Oryctolagus cuniculus: one gene and its partner. The protein of the gene in region 2 interacts with the protein of the main gene of each other region in a pairwise test. Links are inferred from orthologs where the notes say so. Each region holds a gene or a part of one and is shown on either strand. Other genes may lie near its edges.

Region 1 (4,046 bases), on a different chromosome or scaffold from region 2:
AACTCATACGGCCAAGCTGGCCCAAGCGGCATCAGTAGAGACAGGATTTGAACCCAGGCCCGAGGGATTCCAGAGCCCCGTCCACCCCACCACACTGCAGCCTTGGCCCAGGAAACCCCCCTCCTCCTGAGTCTCCCTCTCTTGTCTTGCTCGCTCTCTGCTCCCAGACTTTCTGTTCATTCTGGAGTCGGGGGCCAGAGGCTGAGCCACACCTGCACGTTGCATTGACCACAGTGTCAGGTGGCCCCAACTTGGAGGGCAGAGGGGATGGTTGTCCTCTCTGAGTGTTTGACTTGACCTTCAACATCTCTGGCCAACCAGCCTCCCCACGTCTTTGCTCTTGGCAATGTTCAGGCTGGTTGAGACTTCTGGCTCCGGCCCTCCTCAGCTCTGCAGTGCCCGACAGGACAAACGGGGGTTAATCTGTCCCTGCTAGGCAGCGACATGCCTCTCCAGGAGAAGGCAGGGGCTTTCTGGAATGTGCCCCGGCCTTATCTGCAGAGGTTTGCCCCAACGCGTCCCGGGAGCAAGCAGAGGTTCAGTGACATGTGCAGTTGGCAGGTGGCGGCACCATCAATCAGCCCCCTGTCAGGGCTCAGCCTGCTGGGCTTTTGCAAGTGTGCCAAGGCCATGGAGGCTGGGGTGAACTGGAGGAGAAGGAGAGATCCTTGGGTTGGAGGGAGGGAGGCAGAGGAACCCCAGGGAAAGGACAGATGCTGGTCGCCTCAGTTGGATCAAGTCTTCCTCTCCTGTCCTCAGCCTGTCTCCCGGGGCCCCACAGCTCATGTACCAGGTCTGTGAGCACAGAGCAGGGTTTGGGAAGTACAGTCCCCACTGAGAGTGGGGAGCCGTCTGTGTCGGAGCAAGGCTCCCAGGGCAGGAGATGGTGGTGGCCAGGGTCTGCCCATGCTGTGGGTCCTTGGGGTGGGAGAAACCCACCGAAGGCACAGCTGGCTGGGACTTTGCTCCCTGCTGCTCTCTCTCCTTTCTCCTGGAGTAGAGAGATGGACCCGTAATCCAAGTGTTAAAATCATGGCCTGGGGCAAAACACCATTCATTCTGAATCATCTTTTGTTGCATTAAAAAAAAAAAAAACCTGCAAGGAGCCACGTGGAGGTGTGCAGGCAGCTGTGTTTGTCGGGAGGGCAGAGGAGCTGGCTCGGCTCTGGGGGAGGAGACATGGTCCTGCACCCCCCACCCCCCACCCCCAGGGATATATAAGGAGCTCCAGGCTGGGGAGACAGGCGCTGTGCTCTGGTCCCAGCCCAGATACCTGCCCGCATACCCAGTGTTGGCTGAGACCTCACCGGCTGCCTGACCATGGCTACCACATTTCTGCAAACTTCTTCCTCCACCTTTGGGGGAGGCTCTACCCGAGGGGGCTCCCTCCGGGCTGGGGGAGGTGGCTTTGGTGGGGGTAGTCTTTATGGGGGAGGTGGCTTTGGTGGGGGGAGTCTTTATGGGGGAGGTGGGAGTCGCAGCATCTCGGCTTCTTCTGCTAGGTTTGTCTCTTCGGGGTCAGGAGGGGGCTATGGGGGCGGCATGAGCTGCGGCTTTGGTGGAGCAGCCGGTGCTGGTTTTGGTGGCGGCTTCGGAGGGGGGTTTGGCGGTGGCTTTGGTGACTTTGGTGGTGGCGACGGCGGCCTCCTCTCTGTCAACGAGAAGGTGACCATGCAGAACCTCAATGACCGCCTGGCCTCCTACCTGGACAAGGTGCGCGCCCTGGAGGAGGCCAACGGCGAGCTGGAGGTGAAGATCCGGGACTGGTACCAGAAGCAGAGCCCGAGCAGCCCGGAGCGCGACTACAGCCAATACTACAAGACCATTGAGGAGCTCCGGGACAAGGTGAGCCCCAGGTGACAGCAGGAGGGGAGCAGGTGCCAGGTGCCCTGCACGTGTCTGCTTCTGCCTGGGTGATGACTGCGTTATGTGCAACCTCGGCAGAGTGGCCGTGCACCTGCGTTCCAGGAGCACGCGCTGGCGCACATCTGCTCACCTTGGCAGTGTGGGCAGGAGGGCTCTTGGGAATCCCGTTAGGTCCAACAGGGGCACAGGTAGGGGCAATTATGGAGAGCGACTCACCCTCCCTGTCCCACACGCCCTGCAGGAGTCTGCTCAAAGTGTTCCTTTACCTCCTTGGCAAGAATGGTGCTGGGGTGTAACCGCAGGAGCCCCGAGTGCCAGGACCTCCCGCTGCGCCCTTCCAGGGGGCTTTGGTGCCAAGAACACTGCCAGGACTTGGGGGACCTGGGAGCTCTTTCCAGGCTCTGCCACTGTCTCCCTCACTGGCACTGGTTTCCTCCCCTCTAAAACGCCTTCTCGGCCCCCTCCACGTTCCGTAGACGCACAGCTGTGTCAAGGAGTGTAGGGGGCAGTGGCCGTGAGCTGTGCCCAGAGGGGCCGGTGCAGGAGGACCCTGGGGAGGGCTACGGCTGGAGCCCACTGCACCTCACTCTAGCACATTCTTGGCCAGCCACATCCCACGGGGTGGGGAGGGGGGGTAGGGTCCCAGGCCATGCCCTGGAGCCGAGGAGGGCAGCACCTCAGGTGAGGCTGCGCCAAGGGCCCCAGGGGCTTCCCTTGGTGGTGCCAACCTGGAGGTGGTGAGCGAGGGGTTGGCGGGTGGCAGGAGGGCAGCAGGGGAGGGAGGAATCCCTTAGGCATCCGAGCTCCTGGTCTCCTGCAGATCCTGGCCGCCACCATCGACAACTCCCGGGTCATCCTGGAGATCGACAACGCCAGGCTGGCTGCCGACGACTTCAGGCTCAAGTGCACACCTGCCTCCCCCGCCCCGCCCACCCCGCGTTCTCCTCTTTGCTGGGCCTTGCTCTCCCTCCGACTCAGCCGCCCGGATCCCTCTCTCTCCTCAGGTATGAGAACGAGGTTGCCCTGCGCCAGAGCGTGGAGGCCGACATCAACGGGCTGCGCAGGGTGCTGGACGAGTTGACCCTGGCCAGGACCGACCTGGAGGCGCAGATCGAGGGCCTGACTGAAGAGCTGGCCTACATGAAGAAGAACCACGAGGAGGTGCGACTGGGGGTGGTGGTGGTGGTGGGCGTGGCGGGGGGGGCTGCTGCTTCCTTTGTCACAGCTGGTAGAGTGCTTAGTGGCACAGAGGCCCTCTGGTCCTCTAGTGTGAACTGCTGACCTCCTGTGTCCTCCCTGGGTGGCGCCTGGGGCAGGCAGGAGATCCTCACGAGCAGTGGCGGGCGTGGTGAAGGCCAAGGTGACCGTGTGAGTGAGGGGCACAGCCACGGTGGGCATGCGGGACCCCAGACTCTCGGCTCTCTCTTCGGCTCCTCCACCCTGCAGGAGATGAAGGAGTTCAGCAACCAGCTGGCCGGCCAGGTCAATGTGGAGATGGATGCGGCGCCGGGTGTGGACCTGAGCCGCATGCTGGCCGAGATGAGGGAGCAGTACGAGGCCATGGCGGAGAAGAACCGGCGGGACGCCGAGGCCTGGTTCTTCAGCAAGGTGGGCCTGCCCTGCCCCACCCTGCCCGGCCAGGCCCGGCTCCCCAGGTCTCGCAGGAGGCCCCCGGGGCTCACTTCTCTCCTGCGTGTGACTCACAGACCGAGGAGCTGAATAAGGAGGTGGCCTCCAACACAGAGCTGCTTCAGAGCAGCAAGACGGAGATCACAGACCTGAGACGCACCATGCAGGGGCTGGAGATCGAGCTGCAGTCCCAGCTCAGCATGGTAGGGCCGCCTGCCCTCCACTGCCCGCCGCCTGCCGCCGGCCCGCCTCCACCGGCCAGGGCCCTGGGCGAGTTCTTCCCCACCTGATGTGTCGCTCCTGCAGAAAGCCGGGCTGGAGAACTCGCTGGCGGAGGTGGAGTGCCGATACGCCACGCAGCTGCAGCAGATCCAGGGGCTCGTGGGCAGCCTGGAGGCCCAGCTGGGCGAGCTGCGCTGCGAGATGGAGCAGCAGAACCAGGAGTACAACAGGCTGCTGGACATCAAGTCGCGGCTGGAGCAGGAGATCGCCACCTACCGCAGCCTGCTCGAGGGCCAGGACGCCAAGTAGGGCAGGGATGCGGAGCAGCG
Region 2 (3,502 bases):
GAACAGGGCACGGGGCCGACCCCCTCGGCTGGGAGACAGGGAGGACACCAGCCTTCCTGGAGCCCTGTGCAGCGTGCCCCCCCCGACCCCCACAGCCTTCCTGGAGCCCTGTGCAGCGTGCCCCCCCCTGACACCCACAGCCTTCCTGGAGCCCTGTGCAGCGTGGCCCCGACACCCACAGCCTTCCTGGAGCCCTGTGCAGCGTGCCCCCCCCCCCGACACCCACAGCTTTCCTGAGCCCCCTGTGCATCGTGGCCCCCCCCGACCCCCACAGCCTTCCTGGAGCCCTGTGCAGCGTGCCCCCCCCGCCCCGACCCACAGCTCAGCCTCCACGGAACACTGATGAAGTGACTTTAATGTCCTAAGGAGAGGCCCAGCACACGGCAGGTGTCCGGAAGTGACCCTCCAGCCCCACCTCCACTGGACAGCGTCTGTGCCCCCGAGGCCAGGGAGCCCACCACGGGGCAGCCTGGGAGCAGAGTCCTTCTTCAGGCAGTGTCCTGGGGTCAGGGCGGCCCCGGGGGCGGGGTCCTGGGCCTCCAGCCCCAGGGGTGGGGCCTCTAGAACTCCGTCATCTTCTTGTGGGTGTCTGCCTTGCTCTGCGCCCGCTGCAGGCCGGCCTCCTGGGCGCGGAGCTGCCCCAGCCGCCGCTGGGCTCCTGCCAGTTTCTCTTCCAGCTGGGCGGCGGCCACGCTGTACCTAGGGAGGGAGCAGTCAGCATGGACCCCGGCCCACTGCCCCCAGGCCAGCCTGCTGCTTCCGGGCCAGGTGTCCGCAGCCTACATACCGGCCGGTGTTCCGGGCCAGGGCCTCCTGGATGGCCCGGATGTCCCGCTGTGTCCGCTCGATCTTCTCTTCCGTCTGGAGGAGCCGCAGGCTCAGGGCCTGCTTGGCGCTCTTGCTGGCGTGGTACATGTCCTTGCCCCTCCTGGACGGGGCCACCTCGGCCTCCGGAGCCCCAGGGGCCTGGCCTTGAAGCTTCTCATTCAGGAAGTCAAACAGGCTCCGAGGGGGCGGGGCACCCCCGGGCCCGCCCCCACGCCCCCGGCTCCGCGGGGCCCTGCTGGCGCCTGCCCCATCCCCCTGCGCCCTCTTCTGCAGGATCTCCGCACACTGGTCCAGCGACTTCCCCCGCGGCAGCACCACCGCCTGCACGGGCTCCACCCTGCCTTCCAGGTTGCGGCCCAGGCCTGGGGAGACAGGGGCTGGCCGTGCTGCTGCTGCACCCCAGGGCTGTCCTGGGCACCCTCCCCCGCCTCCGGGCAGCTGACAGCTCACGCTCACCCTTGCCAAACTCATAGCCCATCTTAGCCAGGAGTCTGGAGCCGATGGCCCGCGTGTGCGCCTCCCAGCCAGCAAAGGCAGAGCTGCAGGTCCCAGTGTCCACGGCGCTCGGCTCCACCACTGCAGGGGACAAGACGGCAGTCACTGGGCCAGGCCAGATCCCAGCTCCCGGGCACGTCCCTGTGCACCTGTGGGCTCGTGACCGCCCCCAGCTCCCCCCACACCTCGCTATGGCCCCTTCTCCAAATCCCACCCTCGATCCTGCCTGCATCGCCCAGGGTACAGGGCCAGGGACACACCAGTCTCTGGAGGGCTGGCCACGCCCACCAGCTTCCCTGCCGGCCACTTCTGCCCCAGCAGTCTGGACGCTGTCTGGACGCCCCCTGGTGCCAGGCCCTGGGGCTGCACGGCCAGTCCTCCCGCGCATGCTCAGCGAGGACCGAAGCAGCAGTCCCCACTGGCCCCGCTGGGCGTCCCCCCGTCCTGGCTCCTGGGCACCAGGCCGTGGCCGTACCGCGGGCATAGCTGGCGCCGTCTGTGTCGCTGCTCTCCGAGTCGGAGGACTCGGTGGCTTCCGTGCGCAGTGGGGGCAGGACGCCGTCGCCTTCCACCACCGCTTCCTTCAGCAGCAGGGAGTCGAACTTGACTGTGTAGTAGCCACTGTCCACATCTGCAAGGACAGGCAGGCTGAGGTGAGCGGCTACAAGCGGGGAGCAGGGGACCAGGCAGGGTCCACCCCAGGGAGGCGCTCGGAGGCCTTCCCAGGAAGGTGACCGGGCCAGCCTCACCAGTGATCCGCGCTGGGTGCCAGAGGCCGTCCTGGTGCTTGGCCAGACACGCAGAGCCGACCTGCAGGGAGCTCAGGTCCGGGTCCTGGAAGGGACGCAGCTCATCGACAGGGACCACCTGCCCGTGGGAGAACCTGCAGAGAGCCACACCGGCTGCTGACGGAGGGCACGCACACACGCGTGTGCTCTCGCACGCACATGCCTGTGCTCACAGAGGCATGCACACACTGGGCCTCTGCTCATCCACGTGTCCTGGGCTACAGGGACCACGTGGCAGCAGCCAGTCTCGCTCCTGCACACACTCAACCTCTGCCTGTCCACGTGTCCTGGGCCACGGTGACTGTGGCCACACCCTGGCCATAGCCTTGGCCCCTCCCCAACGACCCCACCCCAGACAGAAGCAGTCAGTCCCGGCAGACGGGCTGGAGTGACTGCAACAGCGGCGCCTCGACCCTCAGCTCCCAGTGGGCAGCAAAACCAAAACCAAGACCCAGAAGAGACAACGAAGAGGAAATGGCGCGGGCAGACACAGGGCCGTGACCTTTCACCTTGCCCAATAAGACACAGAAATCCCGACTGCATCATTTCAAGAGGGCACGCGTATCTGGCCCTACGGGGGTAGCTCCGCGGCTGCAGCCGCCGCCGTCCTCAGGCCAACAGCTGAGTGGCGGCCGCAGCCGCCGCCGTCCTCAGGCCAACAGCTGAGTGGCGCCGGCAGCTGTGACTGTGCCCAGGATGGCTGGACAGGGCTGCTGGCGGGGGGAGCTGCCAGACACCCCCGCACTCCTGACACAAGCCTCCCAATTCGGAACAGGCTGAGTAGGCCGCAGGCTTTCCTCCAACTGGAAGACCCACGCCTGGGGAGAGGACCCCACACAGGCGCACAGAGCTCACTCCCTGCCCGCGTCGTGCAGGCACAACACGGAAAAGCTGCACCTGGGGTCTGCACGTTTTAGGGTTCATCTATGGGAGAGGCGGAGAGGCCCTCATCCGCTGGTTCACCAAATGCCCACAACAGCCGGGCTGGGCCAGGCTGAAGCCAGGAGCCAGGAGCTCCACCCGGGGCCTTGCAGGGGCTGGCAGGGGCTGGAACACTGAGCACCCCGCCGCCCCCGGCTGCTTCGCAGCTGCAGGAGTGCTGGCCTCACTCACCGCACCGGAGACCGGGCCGCACTCGTCTCACTGCTGAGATACACATCTGTGCCCAACGGTTACGGTTTGGAGCCTTTTGGATCCTGGATCTTGGATCACCTTTAGCTGAACAAGGGCTTCTAGAAATGCCACCATTTGCAAAGATTTAGCAACACAAAGACTTGGAAACAACCACCAACCACAGGAAGGGGAGGGAGGGGAGTCACCCACGTCCACAGAGGGCGCCCAGGGTGACAGAACAAGCAGGGAGCCAGGCAGGTGCCGGGGGCATGCACGCA

Evidence for each region.
Region 1: the proteins of ZGPAT (region 2) and keratin, type I cytoskeletal 15 interact in binary tests that used the Homo sapiens proteins (3 or more experiments, as listed by UniProt). The two-hybrid records come from large-scale screens. The link is inferred for Oryctolagus cuniculus from reciprocal best matches to the Homo sapiens genes ZGPAT and KRT15.

What each region holds. Positions count from the first base shown.
Region 1 is NC_091448.1:21,109,365-21,113,410, forward strand, and holds the start of keratin, type I cytoskeletal 15, read left to right. Parts: upstream 1-1,244; 5' UTR 1,245-1,320; coding exon 1,321-1,845; intron 1,846-2,686; coding exon 2,687-2,769; intron 2,770-2,870; coding exon 2,871-3,027; intron 3,028-3,312; coding exon 3,313-3,474; intron 3,475-3,572; coding exon 3,573-3,698; intron 3,699-3,801; coding exon 3,802-4,022; intron 4,023-4,046.
Region 2 is NC_091442.1:341,322-344,823, forward strand, and holds the end of ZGPAT (zinc finger CCCH-type with G patch domain-containing protein), read right to left. Parts: intron 2,207-3,502; coding exon 2,073-2,206; intron 1,955-2,072; coding exon 1,799-1,954; intron 1,405-1,798; coding exon 1,285-1,404; intron 1,191-1,284; coding exon 788-1,190; intron 700-787; coding exon 561-699; 3' UTR 338-560; downstream 1-337. UniProt on the Homo sapiens protein: Transcription repressor that specifically binds the 5'-GGAG[GA]A[GA]A-3' consensus sequence. Represses transcription by recruiting the chromatin multiprotein complex NuRD to target promoters.